Schizosaccharomyces pombe: one gene and its partner. Each later gene encodes a partner of the first gene's protein in a complex. Each region holds a gene or a part of one and is shown in the gene's direction. Other genes may lie near its edges.

What was found.
Region 2: ssb3 (region 1) and ssb1 share a complex: the UniProt entries of both Schizosaccharomyces pombe proteins name them as parts of the heterotrimeric canonical replication protein A complex.

The regions. Positions count from the first base shown.
Region 1 is NC_003421.2:1,279,521-1,286,812, reverse strand, and holds ssb3 (DNA replication factor A subunit Ssb3), read left to right. Parts: upstream 1-4,411; 5' UTR 4,412-4,448; coding exon 4,449-4,595; intron 4,596-4,658; coding exon 4,659-4,761; intron 4,762-4,862; coding exon 4,863-4,927; downstream 4,928-7,292. Other genes in the region: pxd1 (protein Pdx1), read right to left, coding at 1-463; rpm1 (3' ssRNA-specific 3'-to-5' exonuclease), read right to left, coding at 778-3,651; pdr16 (sec14 family protein), read left to right, coding at 5,914-7,292. UniProt on the Schizosaccharomyces pombe protein: As part of the replication protein A (RPA/RP-A), a single-stranded DNA-binding heterotrimeric complex, may play an essential role in DNA replication, recombination and repair.
Region 2 is NC_003423.3:218,682-223,298, reverse strand, and holds ssb1 (DNA replication factor A subunit Ssb1), read left to right. Parts: upstream 1-2,000; 5' UTR 2,001-2,038; coding exon 2,039-2,079; intron 2,080-2,148; coding exon 2,149-3,937; 3' UTR 3,938-4,117; downstream 4,118-4,617. Other genes in the region: M phase inhibitor protein kinase Mik1, read right to left, coding at 1-323, 392-1,600. UniProt on the Schizosaccharomyces pombe protein: As part of the replication protein A (RPA/RP-A), a single-stranded DNA-binding heterotrimeric complex, may play an essential role in DNA replication, recombination and repair.

The DNA.
Region 1 (7,292 bases):
CAATAGAAATAGCAATTTCTGGATGAACAACTTTGGACTTAAATTGTCTCTTACTAACACGAACTCTAGAATCTTCTGAAACAGAAGCCGTCATAAGTAACGGCTTTTTCTTGGGAATGGTATGGCCAAAGCTTAATGGGGTCAAGCTTTCTGAATGCAATTGATCAACGGAATTATTTTTTTCTTCAAAATATTTGGTAACTCTTGATGTAATACTGTTATAAGAAACCTTCGATTTAGAAGAACGAATGTGTGGTTTCTCAACTTTAGTAAAGTCATGAATATTAGCATTATCCTTTTTCAGGAAAGAATGCAGCGTTTTCTGTCGCGGTGCTGCATGGACTTTCATCTGGTATCGAAACCGCTGAACCTTCTCTGCAAAACTTTGCGCAGCATCATTTTCTTCAACATTAACGTCGTTTAAATTTAAAGAGGGTGCTGTTTCACCTTTAGATTCAATCATTTTTCTTAACTTAGATTTTAAACAACGCAGCACACTTCGTCGATGGATTTATAAGCATCCAAAGACATTTGCTTCTTGTCTTACAAAAAATAGAAAAAGAAAATATATTTTAATCACAAGAGTCAAGGTTAACAAAGAGACTTCATAGTAAAACTACCTGTTGGTTTTTGAGATGAGTTTTGGCGAAACAGGTTACTATCAAATCCCAAAACATAATTTATTTATATCGTTAAGTCTCGGTAAATTGATAAAATGCAGGATTGAGTATTTAATTAAGTAAAATTATATCCATAAAAATAGTTTTAATAAGTTTGTTAGGTCGCTAAAGCAACTAATAGGATATTAGACTCCGGAAAGACATCCTTAATTGTAAATGCCTGGCGAGTATTTGCTAACCGGAATGCTTCGTCCGGGAGAATATCAATATGCGCTTTAACACCCAATTCTTCCAACATGACCTGAGGTGTTGAAAGTTCTGAAACCATTAAATATCCATGATAAATATTTTTTTGTACCTTTGGAAGTCTCTCTATATATTTTAAGGCCCAGAAACGATTAATGTATCTTCCTATAGTTTTAATTGATTTTTCTTTTTGGTTGTACAAATTTAGTTTTCCACGAAGAATACCATCAGGTATAGTATTTTTTGGAGTCTTTAATAATACCGACTGAATCTGATGATGAGTGAAGAAGTCGGTAAACCGGCGTAAAGGAGAGGTAGACTGAATATAGCCATCCTTTAGCCCCAAAGAAAAGTGGGAAACAGGTGTGGAGGCTAAATGTGAACTTTCAAATAAAGGCATTACAGAAAGTGAATACTTAGTTTCAACGAGTCCCCAAGATGACCTGTTACTTAACAAAGTTTCAAACGCTTTTCTTCGTACACCATCCATAATTGGATAAGGCTGGCCCCTAAAAATCCCAGGTAATTTATGTTCTTGAAAAAATAATGATGAAACCCGGCCAGCCAATATCATGCACTCTGATATTACTGATTCTGCCAAGCTATACCCTTCACTAACGTTCAAACTAATTGTAGGGAAGGAAGACCAGTATACTGGATGATTCAGATCACCAAGATTATAAGGGACATTATTAGGCAGCAATTCAACTGTCGGAGTGGGTTGTGCAATAACAAACGCAAACTTTTGTAACCTAGAAAAACAGGCTTGTTTCGAAAGTTCATATATTCTTAATATATCTTTCATGTGATCATTTGATACTCCTTTTGTTTCCTCATCCACTGGTCCAGAAACGATGTCTTTCGCAATTGATCGATTACTATGCAAAGCTTTATCCAGTTGTTGGGGTGTGTATTTGATAACTGAGGAAATGAAGCTAGGCCGAACCTTGTAATCAAGTATATCGCCATTTTTTGAAATTTTAGCACTAAAAGTTAATGCTCTTTGAGCTGTAGAAGATGAATCTAAACTCCAATATTTCTGAGTGATATTGAGAGGTAGCATATACACAATTTTGTTGGGATGATAAATAGTTTGAAAGTTCCTTTCAGCAAACGTGCCTAAAGGACTGCGAATGTCAACTGTACTCGTAGGATTAGCAACATGGATATGAAGCCAGGAATTAGACATCCCTAATTCTTCAACCGAAATCGCATCATCTATCTCTTTCGTAGAAGAACTATCAAAGGCGAACGCTTTAAGATGCCTTAAATCGACGCGTTGCGATTCAAGTGAATCTTTTAATTCATTTTTTACAAACTTTTTAAAGTGATTACACTCACGTTCATACACAGCATCTAACTGAGGATTAGTACCAAGGCCAGCAATGCTGTATTCCTGTTGAAACAACCTCGGGGGCTGCCATGAAGCCCACACGCCAATATCCGTTAAGAATTTAGCAAACTGATCACTAGTTAATCCCCTCTCGTGAGTTTGAAGGCCAACTTCTTTGTAAACCTGACACAAGTGTGTATTTGGTAAACTTTGAATACTTTTTGCAATCATTTCCTGAACAAGATACCGCAATAGTTTTTTTTCAAATTCAGTCCAAGTGACCTGTGAATAAACTACGGGTTTTATTTCTTCGGTGCTTATAGGTAACTTATATTTATCTCGGGAAACTTGAATTAAATGACGAGCTTTCTTTATAAACGAAAGATATGGTGTTGATTTCTGACGCAGGCATGCAACAACGTCGTCAAAAGAATCATTTTGTGAAGAGGGAAGGAAATAGACTTTTTGAATTTCGGAAAATATGTGATCGCTTATTAAAAAATGTTTGCTTTCTGTAAGCAAAAAGTGTAACAATGAGATTTTAGCATATGGGCTAGGCTTCGAAGTTTTGTACACAAATTTCAAAAGGTCTGAAAAAGAAGCTGAATTGTCAAGTTTATTTGGAATATTGAATTCTGTCAATATTCGCAAAAATTCATTTCGGTGACTTCGACTTAAATCTTGTGCTCTTTGAGAGATTTTTTTTAATAACTTTATAGTGAAAGGTAGGACATCAGAAGGAACAGAAACATCAGAAAGAGGTTGCTGCACCTCTTTCAGCTTTTTAAAGACATTAGGACATCTCAGTAAAACTCTAGATGTACGAAATTCCTTAATAGTACCGTTTTCGTTAATGCTGGTCAATACATTACTATAGTTCCAAACATTAGTACCAGTGCATGCAGCAAGTTCAATGCCTTCGGAGCCCCTATAAAACACTAGCAAATCTCCACGATCGTACTGTCTAAAATTCTCACTGCTGAAATCTTCTAAATCAAAAGAATACTCAAAATCATTTTCCAACTTCTCTTCCTCAGATTTTGTAGTAGTAGGACAAACAGCAGCGCGTTTGTCCTTCTCGAACTTGTCTTTCAACCACTGTCTAATGTTTCCATGATTTTCTAATTCAGAGAAAAATTTTTTAAGGTTTTCCTCATTCACGGATTTCAAATTAGCATTTTTAAATCGATCAATAAGATCTGATTGAGTATGCTTCAAACGCGCACCACAATGTCCCCAAAGATGATGATCGTTTGCTGGTTGTTTCCCGAAATTTATTAGGCATCCAGTTATGCGGAAATATTTCAAAACTTTTGAACTGGAAGGGCAAGCATGATGAAATTTCCTTGTAAGTTTACAAGGAGACAATTTTAAAGACAGGCATACACGTTTTAATAAATAATTAGACTCTAAATTAACATTTTGAAGAAGAAACAATTGCCTATAGTTCATGGGCAAAAACCCTATAATTAGTAACACCAAAAATAGTGTTGATGGTAAATTCGACTAGAGAGCTGAACCAGAGCACTTTTAGGTACTAGCAAGTATTAAGGTAACAAGCTCTGCAAATGTAAATGAAGAGTGGTTTAATAACTAATGTAACAGAAGAAAGATTTCAATATGAGTATGGAGTTTTTTGATTTTTTTTTTTTTGAATTGAATGGTCGAGGGGATGGGCGACTTCAAAGTGAAATACATGAAATCACAACCTCAAGGTAAAACTAATTGAAAAATTATATCATTAAAAGAAGGCTGCTTTCCATCAATTACATTTACTTTTAATTATTGAAGCTTCTGGTCTACGCCTAAGCAATTTACTAATAGTGGTATTGGAAAAGAGAGAAAATTAAGAGTCGCCGACGATTTCAAAAATAGTATAAAATACCATGAAATCTTTCCATAATGTTATTTAAATCACTATATGTAAGACGTATTTATATTGGTCTTTAACCCGTTTATTTACAACATTTCAACCAATTAATAAGTAGTGAAATTAACGCAGAAGGATACAAGGAGATTTTTTTATGAATAATTCTTATAAAAAATAGAACAGTAATGTATCAACGTTAGCCCCCAGCGTTTATATTTACGCTTTTGCTTTTTTATTTACATCCCAGCGCCTTCCAACATATAATACATAACGTACTGCGTTCCAATATTTTAAATAATTCGTGTCAACAAGTAGTTAACTACCTGGTCTGATACATACTTCACTTCCACCACTTTATAAACAACGCGTATAAAATAATATGGAACGCCCTACACCTCGAGTTACGAAAGATATGCTACCAGAATGCTCTGGAAAAACGGTTCGGATTGTTGGCAAGGCGAATCAAGTTGAAGGTGAAACTGCAAAAGTCGATTCCAACGGTTCTTTCGATATGCACCTCACTGTGGTACGTTTTATCTATTTTACAATCGGTTTTCAGAGTTTTTTTATTTTATCTAACTAATTTTAGGATAACACTCTTGAACCCAATCATTTCTATGAATTTGTCGTTTCTGTCAAACCAGATTCTTCGGTGCAGCTTTTAACCTGTGTTGATTTTGGCACTGATATTGGTAAGTTGTGTTTATAAAAATAATAAGGAAGTCCTTTGAACTTCTGCTTCTGCTAAGTCCTACATTCTATTGACCGATTAACTAATTTCCTGTTCCTTTAGATATGGAGGTATACCAGAAACTCGTTCTATTCAGTCATAAGTATAACTCACTTTTTTTTGAATAAGAAACATTTTATGGATCATACAACACAGATTTCTCTTTCATTTCTCATGCACAGTACAAATAAACATGGAAGAATAAACGCGCAGAATCTTGCTTCCTTCTTTTGGTTTTTGCATATTTTATTGCATTTCTAAACTCAAGCTTTTCTTTTATAATGATTCTTCCTTTTGGCTAATACAAATATGAATTTTACTATCGTTTATTTCACTTTTTTTGATTCTTGTTTGAGTATTTTTATATAACGTTCTCCTTTTTTCGCACTATCTTATTTAGTGTATCCTTGAGATGCTCATCGCGGACGATTCGGCTCCGAAGACGGTACATACCGGTGTTTCTTACGTTTGCTCATCCTTCAGTCACCCTGCCATTGTAACAATCCAACTACCATATATATACAAAGCGAGCAACGCAAGTATATCTAGTGGTACTACGCTGAATATCGCTTATTCCTAAAGAAAATTGGTTGTTTTGAGAATTATTATATTACTTTTTCCTTTACAAACTTTTTTGCTAAAACTGTTGTTTAGCAGTTATTGAGATTGTTAGAGAAATAACGTTAGAAAACGTGCATATGCAGAAGTTGGATTGTTTCGGAATTGCTCCGATTGAAATACTCTAAATATATCTGACATTTGTTCTTTGCATTTCTGTCTGCGCCTTATCTTTAGAGATCAGACACGTTTCTTTGAATATAATCTAACTTGCTTGCATGTTAAATTGGTCGAAACAGAGATAAAAGATATCCTGGAATTCATGGTAAACCATCGAGATCTCTTACTAAAAATAGAGAAAAAAGAAAAGAGTTAAGTATTTCGAACCCTATAGTAATTTAAGTCTTGGGAAAATACCTTTTTTCATTTAATTCCATTATTTCTAATTTCCTTTGATATTTCTTCTTTTACGGTGAAAAGAATACCCTTTGCAATCTAAACTGTTAATAGTTTATTCAAAACCAACATTCGTTAATTTTATCGATACAAAACCACGATGAAAGATTCGGAACATCACCATCATGGCCACAACGGCTTTAGTAAGTTTCTCCATAAACTTGGTTTTGGCAAGTCAAAAGGAAAATCGCATAAAAGCAATACCAGCAGTATTCATGAAAGAGAAAATACTGCTGCCAAAGGACCCGCCTCTAATGTGCGTCCTGCTCGCCCTAATGTTAGCACATCTTCCACTTCGAACGAGGTCAGAAAATCTGTACCTGTTGGTAATCCTACTGTACATACCAAAACAGGGTCTTCTTCATCTCCTGCCTCAAAGATGAGAAATACAGTCAACTTGCAGCATATTCAAGCAGCTAACCAAAAAACTCGTAATGCTGAAGGTGAAAGAAAGGTCGCTCAACGCAGGGTCCAATCTGATAAAGCTGAAGCTAATGATGCAGCCATGAGTAGTTCAGCTCCAACGGTAGATGTTTCCGAAGGTAATTCTGCCGCTGAACCAAAAATTACACCCGATGATTCAGATACACCCAGACTTAATGTAGATATGAATGATAAAATAAATGTCGATGAAGCTGCTGCTAAATCTGATAGCAAACTTAATGTCGATCAGATTAATTCTACTACGGAATCTGAAAAAAGAGTTGAGAAAGTTAATCCAAATATTGCGAATAATCCGCTAAAATCACCGGATGCAGTAGCATATAGCAGTGAGACGGTTTCTGATGAAAAACAACCTACTGAGCATCCTGTATCTGCTAATGTCCCTGCAAAATCTGAAAAAGCTGTTTGTGATGAAAATACCAAAATTTCGCTTACAAACACAGAGCATTACAAGTTTCATTCACTTCGCGGAGACGTTGAAGTTGTTGTTGGTGATTTGGAACGTGACGGAAGAGATACCTCTTTAGGCGATGCTTCGGTAAATGAAGCCGCTAAAGAAACTGACGTCGACTCTAGTCGTTTTATTTCAGATGAAAAAGCCGTGACTGAGGATGCGATGAAAACTGAACATGCCTCCAATGCCCCTCTCACTGATGAAAGGCATTTTCAGTTCCATTCTTCTGAAGGAGACATTGAAGGAATCGTTGGGACAATGCAGCGCCAAAGACAATCTGTCTCTTCGTATGACACTATCGTTCCTAGCCAATTCTATAAACAGAAGGTGGTGCAAAATAGCCCCCCAAGCTTGTTGAGCACTGATAACAAAATTCCAGAATCCGGCTCAGATCATCCCTCAAGTCAAGATAATTCCAGTAAAGCATCCTTGGTAGAAAACTCTCAGACACAATCATCTACTCCGAGAAAGCCGTTGCCAACTACCACTAGTCCTAAAGTAAATCCGGAACCGCATAGCGAAAGTATATCTGACACACGACCTTCTACTCCTAGAAAAGTGCCACCAAGTACAGTTCCTAA
Region 2 (4,617 bases), on another chromosome or scaffold:
TTAAGATTTGGCAAATTTGAGTAATCTCCAGACCTTAGTCGTTGCCATTCAACACCATTTTCTGGCAGGACTACATTTGTTGCGGCTTCAATCATACTGAGGCCTAGTGAATATACATCGGCTGGTTTCCCATAATTATGCGAAGCTAATATTTCGGGAGCTATATAGACTCTGTCGCCTTCGAGATCAACCATCGAGGAGACCGGTAAACTAGTTGCTAGTCCGAAGTCTCCCAACTTTAAGTTACCATCACGAGTTATAAGAACGTTGGAAGGCTTAACGTCTAAATGAACAAATTCTAAAAGATGAATGAAATTTAATGCCTATGTTCGGTTAGTGAATTCAAATGACGTGTCTGTGGAACGCGACTTTTAAATATGTAATAACTTACTTGAGTTAGTTGAAACAACATTTTCCACACGCGAAAAGGATCCATGACCTGCAATAATCCCAATTCGCTTAAAAATAAACTTAGGTCTCCGTTTTCACAATAATCTAATTGCAAAAATATATTATCATTGTAGCTCCAAACGTTCACTAGATTTACTACAAATGGACATGCTTGCAAGCGTTGCAAAATAGATACTTCCTGTAAGTGACGCTCTTTTCCTGTAAACTTGGCTGCATTTTTTTTTAACATTTTTACAACGTAAACCGTTTCAGTAGGTGGGTTGATCGAAGACACATGATATACAAATGAAAAATCACTCTCGTGTATCGGCTTAACTTGTTGGAATCGAATTCGAAGATCACTAGTCCAATCTTCCTCTTCTTCGTAATCATCTGCGCTGTTGATGTTTAAAAAAATTGGACTGGTAGGTGTCCAACTTAATGAAGAAGGTACGTCTTTCTCATCCCAGTTATTAACGTGGGAACTTGAAAGGAAAATAGGCTGACTCTTGCAAGGCGTTTCGCAAAATTCCAACAAGTCCTCTGAACCATAAGACAAAGAAGGAAGTTCTTCCATTTCAAACGTTTCATCCGAGCTGTCAGAGTTTGGATGATCCAACCGACTAAAAGTATCTAGGTCGATATGTTTACATTTGCGAGCTAAAAGAGAGGTAGTGGGTGACAGCGGAGATTGAGGTGGTTTTAATTTTATTTTCGTTCCCTTTTTACAAGGTGTATGAGGTTGTTCACTTCTTGGATTAGTCAAATTCCCTTCCCATAATGACCACTTTTCACGTTTTGATAACAGTCCTGTGCTTAAAGAAGTCACCGCCCTTTTTCGTTTTAAATCAATTGGCGTTGAAGCATCCACAATTTTTTTGGATAACTTCAAGCCGCTCGAAAATGCAAATGGTTTGCTACACCCATCGAGATCTGAATTCTTAAAAATTCCGTGGCGAACTGTAGTGGATAATCTGATGGCTTTTGCATTATTTTGCATAGGGGTATGTGGACTTCTTTTTGTATTGGAAGGTTTAAAGAATGTCAGTTTTGATGACTTATGGCTCTGATTTTCTTCATGGCCAGACGAAAAATTGTAAATGGGTTCATCGTAGAAATTTAATGGAGAATGCTCATTAAACGAAGAGGATATATTAAAAAAACATGGTGTTCGCGTTGGAGTAATTGGGATGGTGGTTGATGAATCCATCTTTAACTGAAACCTGAATGTAAATAAAGTTATATTTTTTTGCTTATTAGCTGTTAAAATCCCGTTTTCACTTTGATATCTCCGGTTTTCCTAAATAATAAATAATATGCAGATGATAATGTAGTTCAACTCTTCCAACAAAAGGAAAATCACAAAGGATTTATTTCCTTTTGTAGAGAATTAAATAACACTACTATTCTTTTCAGCTTTTAAGGGCTTTTCTATAGCAATGTGTTGTGCGCAAAGGATAACTTTGAAAGTAAACAACCATTGTTGACATGCACGTACACAAACAACACATCTTAAAGTTACGCGTAATATTAAAATGTGTTACGACGCGTCATGACGCGTTCGCGTTTTTCATTTGGGATAACGCGACGCGGCTTCGTTCTTTTGCCTTAAACCAACCACTAATTAAAAAAAAAAGAATTTGCAAACATGGCTGAGCGATTATCCGTGGGTGCACTTCGTATAATCAAGTAAGTTAACTGTCCAAATTATATACTCAAAAGATTTCGACAAATTGGGATGTTAACACGTTTCTTTAGTACATCCGATGCTTCGTCTTTTCCTCCTAATCCAATTCTCCAAGTCTTAACCGTGAAGGAGCTAAACTCAAATCCAACTTCTGGTGCTCCTAAAAGATATCGTGTTGTCCTTTCCGATTCAATCAATTATGCGCAATCTATGTTAAGCACCCAGCTGAACCATTTGGTTGCCGAAAATAAACTTCAAAAAGGAGCGTTCGTACAGCTTACCCAATTCACTGTAAACGTTATGAAAGAAAGAAAAATTTTGATTGTTCTTGGTTTGAATGTTTTAACTGAACTTGGCGTAATGGATAAAATTGGTAATCCCGCTGGTTTAGAAACAGTTGACGCTTTACGGCAGCAGCAAAATGAGCAAAACAATGCTAGCGCACCACGAACAGGTATTTCGACAAGCACTAACTCATTTTATGGAAACAATGCTGCAGCTACAGCACCGGCTCCACCTCCCATGATGAAGAAGCCAGCAGCGCCGAATAGCCTTAGCACAATAATCTACCCAATTGAAGGTCTCTCTCCATATCAGAATAAATGGACTATTCGTGCCCGTGTTACTAACAAATCTGAGGTTAAACATTGGCATAATCAACGAGGTGAAGGAAAGCTTTTTAGCGTAAATTTACTCGATGAAAGTGGGGAGATTCGTGCAACAGGCTTTAATGACCAGGTTGATGCTTTTTATGATATCTTACAGGAAGGTTCGGTTTATTATATATCTCGTTGTCGTGTGAACATTGCAAAAAAACAATATACCAATGTTCAAAACGAGTATGAGCTGATGTTTGAACGTGATACTGAAATAAGGAAAGCTGAGGATCAAACTGCCGTCCCCGTTGCGAAGTTTAGTTTTGTTTCTCTACAAGAAGTCGGCGATGTTGCCAAAGATGCTGTTATCGATGTAATTGGTGTACTCCAAAACGTTGGACCAGTTCAACAAATTACCAGTCGTGCAACTTCTCGTGGATTTGACAAGCGTGATATCACTATCGTTGACCAAACAGGATATGAAATGCGTGTTACGCTTTGGGGAAAGACAGCTATTGAATTCTCTGTTTCTGAAGAAAGTATTCTCGCTTTCAAAGGAGTTAAAGTTAATGACTTTCAAGGACGCTCTTTGTCAATGTTAACTAGCAGCACCATGTCGGTAGATCCAGATATCCAGGAATCTCATTTGTTAAAAGGTTGGTATGATGGACAGGGTAGAGGGCAGGAATTTGCCAAACATAGCGTAATTTCATCTACTTTATCTACTACTGGAAGGAGTGCTGAACGTAAAAATATTGCTGAGGTTCAAGCCGAACATCTGGGAATGTCAGAAACACCCGATTATTTTAGCTTAAAGGGCACCATTGTTTACATTCGAAAGAAAAACGTGTCATATCCTGCTTGCCCTGCTGCTGATTGCAACAAAAAGGTTTTTGATCAAGGTGGCTCCTGGCGATGTGAGAAATGTAATAAAGAATATGATGCTCCTCAATACCGTTATATTATAACTATTGCTGTAGGTGATCATACGGGACAACTCTGGCTCAACGTCTTTGACGACGTCGGTAAATTAATCATGCATAAAACGGCAGACGAATTGAATGATCTACAAGAAAACGACGAAAATGCCTTTATGAATTGTATGGCAGAAGCTTGCTATATGCCATATATCTTTCAATGTCGTGCTAAGCAAGACAATTTTAAAGGTGAAATGCGAGTACGCTATACAGTGATGTCAATTAATCAAATGGACTGGAAGGAAGAGTCTAAAAGATTGATAAATTTCATTGAGTCTGCTCAATAAAACATTGTGTTTTACGTCTCGCTGGTCGAGTAATTGAGTTTTTGGCTTAAATCGCGAAAACTACGATTTATGATTTTGCATACATTGATTACAAAGTGACTCCTTTCCTTATGATTTGGTACTTCACTTACATTTAACTAGATTTAAAGTAATTATATATGATCTGAATTTTTGGAGTAATTAGTTCTGTTGCTTACATATTAAAGTTCCTTGATGGGTAATTTACGCTATAATGGCTTGATTGAAATCACCGCTAAAAGAATGCAATGATATCTTTTAATATGAAGTAAAATATACAGTAAACTTATCAATTGTTTTAGAATTGAAACTGTTGAAGAAATAAATTACCAGATTGTTTTGAAGTAAATACGAGTCTACGAAAATGCAATCCTATTTTAACAGGAATATGAACCATGATTTTTTTAAATTTACTTTATAAATAAACAACTTTAATAAGGAAGCGATTTAGATACCAATAACAGCAGGTTACATTCTTTAATTGAGTAATAATAATATAACTGAGCAAAAAGACTGTTTTGCGACAAATTTTGTTAATTACATACAAAATCTTAAAATACAACATTTCTTTGATTAAATCGTACAAATTTATCTTTAAAGATCCTTAATTAGCTCCCCACATTCTAAATGGAATGGAGTAAACTATTTAATCCGTCTCGCAA